Linked DNA regions of Caenorhabditis elegans. The protein of the gene in region 2 purifies or fractionates together with the protein of the main gene of each other region. This does not show direct contact. Each region holds a gene or a part of one and is shown on either strand. Other genes may lie near its edges.

Region 1 (4,977 bases), on a different chromosome or scaffold from region 2:
CGTCCCATTCTGCGAGCGCTGCACAATCTGAATTCTCCCAGCAAGACGTCCCGACGACATATGGTTCTCCAGCGTTCCATGATACTCCGAAGCATCATCATCCCGATCGTCATGCTCACCGCGGTACCGTCTCGGCTCTTTCGGCTTCTTCTCCACGGCGGCGTCTCTTCGTTTCGGATGGTTCTCGTCGTTGGCTCCACGTGTTCTCTGGTACAGAACACGTGGATTATAAGAGTTGCCGCTTCGCACAGAAGTCGGAGTTCTCTCACCACTTTTGAGCTCTTCCTCGGCTTCTTCTTCCTCTTTTTCCTCGGCGATACTTCCACCGAACGAGCTTTCTCTGTCGGATTCATCGGGATGGTACCGACTGTTGCCTCCACCTCTTCGATTATTCCTTCGGTTATTTCTCCTCGGAGACGCCGCTTTCTGAGCTTCCTGAGCAGCAGCTTCTTGAAGCTTCTGCTCCATCCGTCGCTCTTCCTCTTCCTCCTGCTCTTTCTGCATTGCAAACTCATTTTCCACCTCTTTACTCCAATCCATCGACGCGAAATTCTGCAGGTTCTGGCACATTTCCTCGAAACTGAACGCCTCGCCAAGGGAATTCATCGAGAAATTCGATGAGGCTCCACACTGAGATGCCGAGTCGAATGAGGTGTCAATGTGAAGTTGAGCACCGGTTTGAGGTGGCATTTCTGATTGGGTAGAGTTGATGGAATCGTTGCGTTGGCGACGGGATCCTTGAGGACGTCGGGCGATGGCGCCGTCCCCGCGCATGGAAGCTCGCTCGTTGAAGCCGCGGGTCTGGAAATTGAAAAGATTTAGCTTTAAAAGTTTGGTTGTTTGAACAAAAAAAGCTTTAGCTCAAAAAATATTTGATACGCAATTTTGTAAATGCGCGTCGTGTTTGCGTACTTGACTATCGTACTCAATGGTGATTTCCGCAAAAATTTATGTTTTTTTTCGAGAACGGACAATTTTCTAAGGTTGTTCAGAGTTTTACAATTCGAAACGGTATCATGCCTTCTTAAGGCGGTATTAAACGTAATTCTAAGTTCAGATTGTCAAATTTCTCAAATTCTGACAGTTTTCACCAGTAAAAACCTCGAATTTGTATGGAAAACTGTCCAGATTGATAAAATCTCTAGCTTTCTGTACTAGACGTGAATTTTCTTGAAGTGGGCTAATTTCTAAAGCTTTTCTCAGCTGTTTGGTACAATTTCTACTAAGTTTTACAGTTTTAGACTAGAATTTGAGCGATTTATCTCTTTTTCCCCAAAATTTCTTTTTTCCTAAAGTTTCCATATTCCCATCATACCTTACTGATCACTTCACATCCCACACATCCCATTAATTCTAATTAATTCACCCCTTCTCCCCCCCAGACACTTCCATTAAGAAAACCTGATAACCTACATAATGATTTCCGCCGGGTCGTTCGAACGGTTGCCGATGCTGCTGATGCTGCTGGTTACTGTATCTCCCATTATTCCGGTGATTCGATCGGTGGTTGCCCTGGTACTCCATATAGCCACCATGTTGCCGTGTGTCGTAGAGGGATTGTGTGGAATTCTGGAATTGGAATGGTTTTCGTGGGATTTGGGACATTTGTAGGGGTGTGCAACTTTTCAGTCAATTTCAGACTTTTGTCTAGTTCTGGGGATTTGAGTTCAATCTTGAGCAATTCTTAGCTTTTTTCCTGGAGTCTTCGAGACAAAATATAAGTTTTCAGCCAGTTTGAAGTTGGGTTCAGTCGGGTTTCATGAGAATTTGAGACCTTTTCCAGCTAAATTCCAGAGCCAAAATACGTGATCTCACGTGGTGTCAGAGTCTCCAATTTTGGCTTGATCTACGTAGTTCTACAAAAATTGCGGGAAAAGAGACGCAGAGTTCTCATTTGATTTCGCATTGTTAAGAACGTGCTGGCGTCACATTTTTTGGCCAAAAAATTCCCGCATTTTTGTAGATCAAACCGTTATGGGGCAACTTGATACCACGTGATTTCTCAAATTTTGAGGATTTTGAGTTACCTTCAGCCGTTCCACAGTGGCTTTAGAGTTAAATATTTGGATTTTTGGCGTTTTTGGGGATTTTCAGCCAACTAAGGTATTTTCTCGTGCTAATAATGAGTTTTTAAACAATTTTTGAGGGTTTTCAGTCAATTTCAGCTACTTCATAGTGAAGACTTTGGGTTTCGAGAGATTTACTGAAAATTTTTGGCTTTTCCCGTAAAAATATCAGTTTTGCCATAGATTTTAAGATTTTCCGTTAATTCAAGTCGTTTTCTAGTGCTTTTAAGGTATTTTGAGACATTTTCAGCTGAATTTGGGGCTTTTATCATGCTAAAATATTAGTTTTTCAAAATTTGCTGAGGGTGGTGTCAGGATGTCCCATCACGGTTTGATCTACGAAAAATACGGGAATTTTTATTACCAAAAATGTGGCGCCAGCACGTTCTTAACCATGCAAAATTAGTTGAGAACTCTGCGTCTCAACTCCCGCATTTTTTGTAGATCCACGAAGATCACGTCAAAATGAGGCACTCTGACACCGTTTCCCCGTGCTAGATAATGAATTTTTCCAAAATTTTTTGAGGGTTTTAGGTAATTTCAGTTTTTTTCTGTAGTGTTAGGGTAGAACTTTTGGTTTTTGAGCGATAAGATAAAAACTTACATAATTCGATGGCCCATCTGTTCTCTGTTGTTGTCGATAGCCTTTCTCAAATCGATTCCTTCCTCCACCTCGCTCATTCATGGCATTAATCACATTTGCATCGGGCGTCGTACTTCCAGATCCACCACGTGACGTCACACTGTCCGTATCGTTGCTTCTTCGTCTGGAATTGCCCGACATCGTCGTCGTTGTTGTGTTCAACTTCTCCGGGCGTGGTGGTCGTGCTTCTTCGTTCGTAGAGCTCAAGCTTTTCGTGCTCCCTCCCTGGCGGAGCATTCCTGGACGGTAGATTTGAATTTCTGGGCGCGGTTTTCGTGGAGCTCCCGTCCTAGATGACGAGGCGTCTGTGTCTCCGTTCATTTTGCTTGGTGAGCTGGAAATTTGGAATTTTGAGATATATCATAAAAGAGAAGCATGTAACATACAAAAAAAGGAAAATACAGATTCAGGCATGCCTACCTGCCTGCCTACCTACGCTATAAAACTGCAAAAGTTCAGGAGAAAAAGCTATAATTGAAGAGAAAGCACGCGGTGTCAAAGTGTCTCATTTCGGCTTGATCTACGTAGATCTACAAAAAATGCGGGAGAAGAGGCGCAGAGTTCTCAACTGATTTTGTATGGTTTCACATTTTTCTGGGCAAAAAAAACCGCATTTTTTTGTAGATCAAACCGTAATGGGACAGCCTGGCACCACGTGAGAACGGAGTTGGAGCAAAAAAATTTAATTAAGAAAAGGTGTTGACAGCGGGCTTTACGAGGGGATGAGCAGAGGATAAACAGATTTTTTCGCAAAAATTCGTCATTCCTCTAGATTTTAGACGGGATTTTGCATTTTCTAAAGCTGTGGGTGTTGGAAAACCGAAAACCGCCGTTGAAAATAGCTAAAAATCCGTGGGAATCTCCAAAAAAGCGTTGAAAACTTCAATTTTGTACCTAGAAATCCAGGAAAAAGCTGAAAATTGGTGTGATGTCAGAATGCCCCATATCGGTTTGATCTACGTAGATCTACAAAAAATGCGCGAATTTAGCCGCAGACTTCTCAACTGATTTCGCATGGTTAACACTGTGCTGACATCACATTTTTTGGGGAAAAAAATTCCCGCATTTTTGTAGATCACACCGTTACAACCTACCACACCACGTGGGAAAACTCATAGGTTCGACGAGAAACTTTTTGGTTAAAACTTTAAAAAATGTCATATTTTTAGGCTGAAACTAATATGAATAGTTAAAACCAAGCTATTAAGTTCTGAAAACCATACTTTATATAAATTAAGGGCCTTTTGGGTCTGGAAATTCGGATTTTTTGAGATTTTCCCTCCCAAGAATACTAGTAAACCCTAAATTTCTCCGATATCACAAGATCGCTACTTTTATTTCGATTTTCGCAAAGTAACAAAAAAAAAGTTTTATGTAACTTTTATGTCCCCCCACCACCAAACGTTTTCCTGTTCCGAAATGCAAACACATACAACACAGTGAAACAATTCTTATCACTGGTGGAGCGGGTACCTTCTGTTAAGCTAAACAGAACATACACGTCGGCGGGGTGGGGGGAGGGAAGGGGTAATTGTTTGATTAGCCACCCATCAAATAGAGACATGGGAAAGTACATGGGGGGTAACAATGGAATTTTCGGTATCGATTTCTAATTGGGGAAGACTCTAGTAGAGGCTCATTGGAAATTGGGAATTAAATAGCGTTTATAACCGAAATTTGAAATAAAAAATTCAAGAATATGGTAGTTTTCAAAGTAACGTTTCTAATTGGGATTTTAAACAAAAGTACAAAAGTACTACTAAAACGAAATTTGACAATTCTTTTTGCTCAAAAATTAAATTTCGTCATTTTTTAAAATTATATATATATATGTGTGTTGTAATTAATTACAATGCTCAAAAATGCAGCAATTTTTCAAATTTGAGCAATAAATGTTGTCAATTTACGTTCTTTTTCGATTAATATAGTAATTAAAGTAAGCTTTTTCAGCCTACTACAGCCTATTTGGACTAAAAAAAAACGGACCTCACAGAAATGATATATTTACTGATTTTTTCTCCCTCAGAGAGCAGTATAAACACACACGTGCATTGTAACAAAAAAACAGGGAACGAAAAGAAAAGAGTGAATGGGAAGAGAGAAAGAGAAAATGTGTGATATGAATTGGGCAGAGAAAAGGGATGACGGCTGGAGACGCTGAGAGGAGGGTGGGGTACGCAATTGTGCGTCGAGGGGGGAGGGGGTGTAATTGCGGACTATGGGAAGATGAGTATGACCTTTGGCGGAGAAGAAGAGGACCGTGGGAAT
Region 2 (7,643 bases):
ACCTCACGCCTACACAATTTTCACTTTTTACTTTTATTTCCCTTTTTTCTTTCCCAACGGTCTACAATTTCTTTCCCAATGGTTATTCTTTTTCATTTTTTTCTCTCAATATCTTTCCTACCATGACTATTACGTTGTCAATATTTTCGTCTTCCAAACTTTATGATTCCTTTATGAAATTCTTTTATGCCTAAACGTGGAGTAATAGGGATTTTGATTTTAAAAAAAGTCCAAAAAAGTTCCCAAATTCAGAAAAAAACACAAAAATCCGCTGATTGGTCCAAAAGTGGGCGGAGCCAATCGCTGATTGGTTGTAGTGCACATTTTGGAGAGAATTGTGATTTTTTCTAAACTTGAGACATTTTTGAACTTTTTAGTGTAAAAATACATAACACACAGCTATGGAATAATCAAAAAATCGACAGGAATTGTGTGCATATTTCCGTACTCGTTGTATCGAACGATGGCCGTGCGATTCGGCAGAAGCTCGGTCACGGTCGCCGGATAGAGATTGCCGTCGGTCCACGTGGCAAGGCACTGAGCTCCGACACGCCATTGGGGGCCACCGGTCTGTTGTTGGTGGGATTGTTGAACTGAAATTGAATGAAAATTTAAAAAAAATGTATTTTTGCACATTTTTGACTTAAAAAAATCTATTTTGCTATAAAAAAATTGATCGAAAAATTCATTTTTTCCAAAAAATTACATGAAAACTTTTTTTTCGACAAATTCCAAAGAATTTCCAATTTTTCGATAGTTTTAAATTCTAAAAATTTTTGAAAAACCAAAAAAAAATTCTAAACAATTTAGTTTCAAAATTTCCTTTTTTTTAAGCTGAAAATCAAAAAATTCTCGAATTTTCGCTTTTTTGATCGAAAAAACGCCTAAATTTCTAGTTGTCCTCTCGGAGTTCACAACTTTCGATGGAGCCCGTATTACTGGAATACAAAATTCTAAGAATGCGTATTAAACAACATATTTGAAGCGCAAAAATATCTCGCAGCGAAAACTACAGTAATTCTTTAAATGACTACTGTAGTCGATTTACGGGCTCGATTTTCGAAATTACGAATGAATTAATATTTTTCACTTCGAAAATCGAGCCCGTAAATCGACTACAGTAGTCATCTAAAGGATTACTGTAGTTTTCGCTACGAAATATTTTGCGCGTCAAATATGCAGTAATCCTTTAAATGACTACTGTAGCGATTGTGTCGATTTACGAACTCGTTTTTCGAAAATATTTTTTCTCGAGCTCGTAAATCGACACAAGAGCTACAGTAGTCATTTAAAGGATTACTGTACTTTTCGCTACGAGATATTTTGCGCGTCAAATATGTTGCGCAGTACGCATTCTCAGAATTTTATGTCTTCGTAATACCATTTCTCGGCTCTTGATGCCCGAAATTTCCCATTCCACGTGGAGCTCCATGATAGGATTGCCCTTGATTATTTCCACGTGGTGGTGGATTTTGTTGAGCCTGTTGTTGGAAGCCACGTGGATGATGCTGTGATGGTGGTGGTGGTGGTGGTCCCTGTTGAGATCCTCCGTGAAATTGGCCGCCACGTGGAGGTCCCTGCTGGAAGAAATAGTTTCCGGTGCCACGTGGCGGGCCTTGTTGCTGGAAGTTCCCTTGATTTCCACGTGGCGTCTGATGAGGCGCTCCTTGCTGGAAACTCTTCTGATTTCCACGTGGATGCCCTTGATTCGAATTTTGATTGAAGCTTCTAGGCGAATTCTGGAAATTTCTAGATACTTCTCTAGGCTGCTGGCCTACTGAGCCTGTGCTCGGACGCTGCTGACGATCGCGATCTCGAAAATAGTCGGCTGCTCTATTTTGTGGGCCAGGATTCTTCGGGCCACGGTTACCGTCACGGGCTGCTGCTGGGCGCTGATCTGAAAATTTTAATTTTTTTAAAAATTCTTTATTAGGTCGGATTTTGAAAAAAAATTGTTTTCTTCGCTAAAAACCCAAAAACTGAAATTTTCACACATGTTACAGTATCATAGATTCAAATCGAAGGCAAACGCGCTCCACGGACAATTTTCAACGCTCCGCCCCCGAGCTATGGGTCTCGTTAGGTATTTGGCGGCAAAACCGTAAATTCAAATATTTCGACAATTTTCAAGGACTTTTTGCAGTTTTTATTACGTTTTCCGTTGTCTTTACTGATTTTCATGCCGAAATTGATGAGATCAAGTCTAAAAAAGATCATTTCGGCATAAAAATCAATAAAAACCGAGAAAATCACAACAAAAATAACAAAAAAATGCTTAAAAATCGGCAAAACGTATTGAAAATGTTTGAATTTTTACGATTTTTCCGCCAATTACCTAACGAGACCCATGACTCGGGGGCGGAGCGTTTTTAATTGACCCTGGAGCGCGTTTTCATTTCAAAACGACTTTTTTCTGCGCTTCTATAATATAAAATTCGATTTTTAACTTAAAAAGATTTTTTAAAAATTTCTTCAAAAAAGTAATTATTTCTGAGAATTTTCGTTCCAAAATCCGGAAAATCGAATTTTTTTTCCCCGATTTTTCGATTTTCCAGAAAATAACGAATTTCTGGCTTCCCCCATAAATTGAAATGGAAGAGTTTGCCAAACTAGGCCATTTTGGCTCGGCCATATCTGGGGTAGATTTACGGCGCGTTGCGTGTCACGTCGCGGCTCGATTTTAGTTGTAAAACTAAATGTATTTGTCCGTGTGGAGTACACGATACTTTCTCACGCGTTGTCCGGCAGGCGATTGTCAATGGAGCGCAAAAAATTCAATGAGGAAGGCAAAGAACCCCGTGAAAACTCAAATTTTTTCGTTTTTTTTGAATAGCGCACGGGGTTCTAACCTTCCTCATTGAATTTTTTGCGCTCCATTGACAATCGCCTGCCGGACAACGCGTGAGAAAGTATCGTGTACTCCACACGGACAAATTCATTTAGTTTTACAACCAAAAACGAGCCGCGACGCGACACGCAACGCGCCGTAAATCTACACCAGATATCACCAAGCCAAAATGGCCTAGTTCGGCAAACTCTTCCATTTCAATTTATGAGGTAAGCCAGAAATCCGCGATAGCGGAAAATCGAAAATTTTAGTTTTTTTTTTTCAATTTTCTGGAATATTCAAAAATTTTCGAAAATCTGATTTACTTTGCGGAGCAGAATTTTTCGGGCCACGGTTATCGTCACGGGCTGCTGCTGGTCGCTGATCTGAAAATTTTCCGGATTATTTTCTCCAAAAAAAAATTTTTTTTTTCGAATCGCCTACCTCGCCTACCACCTGCACCTGGATATTTGAAATTCTCCGAATTTTTCACATTCAATTTTCCCATTTTTTCAGTCAAATGCTGTACATTTTGCGGAGGAAGAAGCTCCACAGCCTTCTCAGATGCTCCGGCTCCGGCTCCTCCACCGATAAAATCGAAAAGTGTCGCCGGCCCACTTGGCTTGTGATTCGCGTACTCTCCAACATCCACGTCCGGCCCATCTTCACTATTCTTCCGGCCGCGGCCTTTTCGGGCCGGCCTGGCGGCCGGAACTCGCCGCTCTTTCGGTGGAGCTGGAGCTTTTACTGGTGGTGGAGCAAGATTCGGTTTTGCGAATGTCTTCGCCGTGTCGGAATCCAAATCCTTTAGGATTTCAGCTCGATTCTTCGAGAAATCATCGTCAGCGTCTTCTCCTTCTTTTTGAGTTTTTGGCATCACACTATTCGCCTTAAATCCCTTCTCCAGTTGACCTTTCTGTCCACGTTTTCCAAAGGATATCCATTTTGGGGCACCGGTTCCTGGAGAAAAAATTATTGGCTTACGTGCCTACCGCCCCCGCCTGCCTGCCTACCTGCCTCAAATTTGTTATTTTGAGAACGATAGGCAGTTTTATGCAAGTTTTCAAAAGTCTTTTTGAATTCCTACCTATTCTCAGAAATTTATTGTATTTTTATAATCGTGTAAATTTTGATGAAAATCTCAGCTCCGCCCATTTTTTTGCTCTTTTTTCAAAGTTTTTGTCCGAAATTCGAAATTTTATTTGTTTTTCGGTTGAAATGGGTAATTTAATTTTATAAAAAGGTTAATTTTTGGATAATTTATTTTTTGTTACAAATTTGAATTTTTTTATTTATTGCTTCTTGGCCAAAAATTGGAATGAAATAATTTTTTGCCCGAAATTCAGACAATTTTTTCAAGTTTTTTTTTTCATTTTAAAATAACGTTTGCAGTACTGTTTTGGTCTTAAATTTTTAAATTTTTATTTTAAACCTTTTTTCAGTAGAAAATTGGTCGTCCAAAATTAAAAAAAAAATTTTTTAGGGCGAAAATTCAAAAAAAAAAATTTTTTTTTAATGTTTTTGTATAAAAATTATTTTGTTATTTTAACCAAAAAATCGAAAAAAAAAGATTAATTTTTTTGGTATAAAATTTAGAGAAAAAGTGTTTTCGAAAAAATTCATACTCAAAAAATTAAAAAATAATTTAAAAAAAAATTTTTTTAAAGAATTTTCAACCAAAATTAATTAGTTTTTATTTTAGGACGAAATATTATTACGAAAACACAAAATTCTGAGAATGCGTTTTACACAACATATTTGACGCGCAAAATATCTCGTAGCGAAAACTACAGTAGTCCTTTAAATTACTACTGTAGCGCTTGTGTCGATTTACGGGCTTGATTTTCGAATTGAAAAAAATGTTAATTCATTCGTACAAAATTCCGAAAATCAAGCCCGTAAATCGACACTAGCGCTACAGTAGCCATTTAAAGAATTACTGTAGTTTTTGGTTCGAGATATTTTGCGTGTCAAATATGTTGTGCAATACGCATTCTCAGAATTTTGTGATCTTGTAATAATCCATCGAAAGTAGTGAACTCCGAGAGGACAACTAGAAATTTATTCGTTTTTTTTTTCAATTTGAAAAAGCAAAAATTCGAGAATTTTTCGATTTTCAATTTAAAAAAAATTGAAATTTAAAAATGTAGAATTTTTTTAAATTAATTTTCTAAACATTATATTTTCGATTTTCAAAGAAAATCGAAAAAAAAATCTAATTTTTCAGATTGGGATTTTCTAAATTTTGGAATTTTCATACTAAATTTTTAACAGTAAAAACAATTTTTTTCGGTTTTTCAAAATTTTCGAAAGAACCTGAATTTTTTTTTGAATTCTTTGACAAATTTTTGCTTGTCAAAAACTTTCGAAAAATTGAAAATTATCTGGTATTTTTCATTAAAAATTTTCAATGAAACAATTATTGTTAAAAAAATTATTGGGAAAAAAAAATTTAGTTTTTTTTCGCTCATTTTTAAAATCAAATTTTCAGAATTTTGTATTCGAGTAATATTTAAAATAATGTTTTTTTTGTTAATTAACTGTTAACTTAACTAAAAATTATATTTTTTGTCAAAGTTCAGAAAATTCAATTTTTAAAAAAATTTGCTTCAGAAAAATCAATATTTTTTCCGAATATCTACCTTTCCCAACACTTGACTTGAATCCACCAGCTCTAACCGAACTCTTTTCCACATTCCATTTCTCAATCATCTCATCAACCTTTCCACCCAAAATCCGTATATCCTTCTTCCCCAAAATCAAAAATCCTCCTTCAACATCAACTTTTCCCAATATCAAAATCTTGGTTCCTGGTGGTGTGTCTGAAGTGATTCCAGGAATCGACTGAAGCAAAAGCGCCGAAATTGAAGAATGTCCATCGGTGAAGAAAAGACGAATTATTGAGTGAGCCGGATCTGTCTGATTGAGCTCTTCCTTGATACGTGGCACTGACACATTTCGATAACGAAGTAGTTGGAGGACACACGGGCCTTCGAATACGAAATCTTCCTTTTTGAGCAAATTTATTATACTTGCTTCACCGAAATTTCGCAGATCCTCGTTGAGAATCACTTTTTCAATTTCCGAGCCATTTTTCGGTAGGAGCTCATCGTCGAAGAGCTGCGAGGTTTGTGACTCGTTGATGTACCAGCCGTCTTTTCGAAGTTGATCCATCTGGAATATTATGGGAAATAGAATTTGGATATGGAGCAGAAGAAAATTTCTAATTTTTCAACAAAAATTGTTTTTTTTCTTTTTTGAAATGCTCTAAATCAGGAGTGGCCGGCAAATTTTTTTCGTCGACAAATTAGGCAAATTGCCAAATTTTCGGCAAATCAGCCGGTTTGCCGGAAATTTTCAATTTCGGCAATTTGCCGTTTTGCCGGAAATTTTCAATTCCGGCAATTTGCCGTTTTGCCGGAAATTTTCAATTCCGGCAATTTGCCGTTTTGCCGGAAATTTTAAATTCCGACAATTTGCCGTTTTGCCGGAAATTTTCAATTCCGGCAATTTGCCGTTTTGCCGGAAATTTTAAATTCCGACAATTTGCCGTTTTGCCGGAAATTTTCAATTTCGGCAAGTTGCCGTTTTCCGGAAATTTTCAATTCCGGCAATGTGCCGTTTTGCCGGAAATTTTCAACTCCGGTAATTTGCCGTTTTGCCGGAAATTTTCAATTCCGGCAATGTGCCGTTTTGCCGGAAATTTTCAAATCGGGCAATTTGCCGTTTTGCCGGAAATTTTCAATTCCGGCGATTTTCCATTCATTGATCCAAAAATTCCGAAAGAATGAAAAATACAACTTTTAAAAACGTGATTTTTTACATTTGGTTCATTTTCTCGTTACGACCGATCAGCGATTTGCTCCGCCCCCTTGTTAACCAATCATATGAGTGGGCGGAGTTCGAAGACGCTGATTGGTTCAAAACAGGAAGTTCTGGCTTAATTCTAAATTGGCGAAACTCTCAACCAATCAGCATCTTCGAACTCCGCACACTCCCTCTGATTGGTTCAAAAATGGGCGGAGCGAATCGCTGATTGGTCGCAGTTCTCATTTTGCGGAAAATTCAATATGAAGTTTGAGAAATGGATTTAGGATTTTTCCACTTTTGAAAAAAAAATTTTTTTGAAATGTTCTAAATATCAAGCAAATAGGAATTTTCAGAGCATAACAAATTAAATTGATGTATTATTTTTTTTCAAAATTTCGAGTATTTCTTCAAAAAATAAAGATTTCAATTATCAGAAGATTAAAAAAAAATTCTGGAATAAAAAAACTTAAGAAATTTGAGTTTAAAAACTTAATAAAATTCAACTTTTTCAAGGTTTTTTGAAAAATTAAAGTAGTGATTTTTATTGGAATGCTCTGAAAATTCCAAAATATTCAGAAAATGTCAATATTTTTAAATTCTAAACTTTTAGAGTCGAAAAATTATTTTGTTAAATAAATGTACTAAATTTGAGAAAATCCCGAAGAGGAATTTAAAAAAAAACTCAAAAATGTGTATTTTTTAAAGAAAAAATGCGCGAAATTCAAACTTTTCCATAAAAAACTTTTAGAAAACAATTTCTCTAGGGTTTGAATATAAAATTCAACAAAATAAATATTATTGGGATTATAAAAAACCCAAAAAAATTTTTTTAAAAAATTCAATTATAAAACAAAAATATATGATTTATATAAGGTCTGTACATTAAAATGTTTGAAAAATTCAAAAAAAATTGGTCAAATTTGGGGTTTTTTGTATCAATTATTGTTACACACACGTGGCAAGTAGATTATGGTGGGCGAGAAATATTAAAAATTAACAAAATTTT

The links. Proteins that work in one complex are often made in the same cells at the same time.
Region 1: the proteins of tdrd-3 (region 2) and smg-6 fractionate together in Caenorhabditis elegans (co-fractionation; one large-scale study listed by BioGRID). This does not show direct contact.

What each region holds. Positions count from the first base shown.
Region 1 is NC_003281.10:2,471,934-2,476,910, reverse strand, and holds the start of smg-6 (PIN domain-containing protein), read right to left. Parts: upstream 3,044-4,977; 5' UTR 3,031-3,043; coding exon 2,671-3,030; intron 1,570-2,670; coding exon 1,414-1,569; intron 802-1,413; coding exon 1-801.
Region 2 is NC_003283.11:939,244-946,886, forward strand, and holds tdrd-3 (Survival of motor neuron-related-splicing factor 30), read right to left. Parts: upstream 6,002-7,643; coding exon 5,470-6,001; intron 3,788-5,469; coding exon 3,272-3,787; intron 3,214-3,271; coding exon 3,154-3,213; intron 1,898-3,153; coding exon 1,382-1,897; intron 594-1,381; coding exon 400-593; 3' UTR 148-399; downstream 1-147.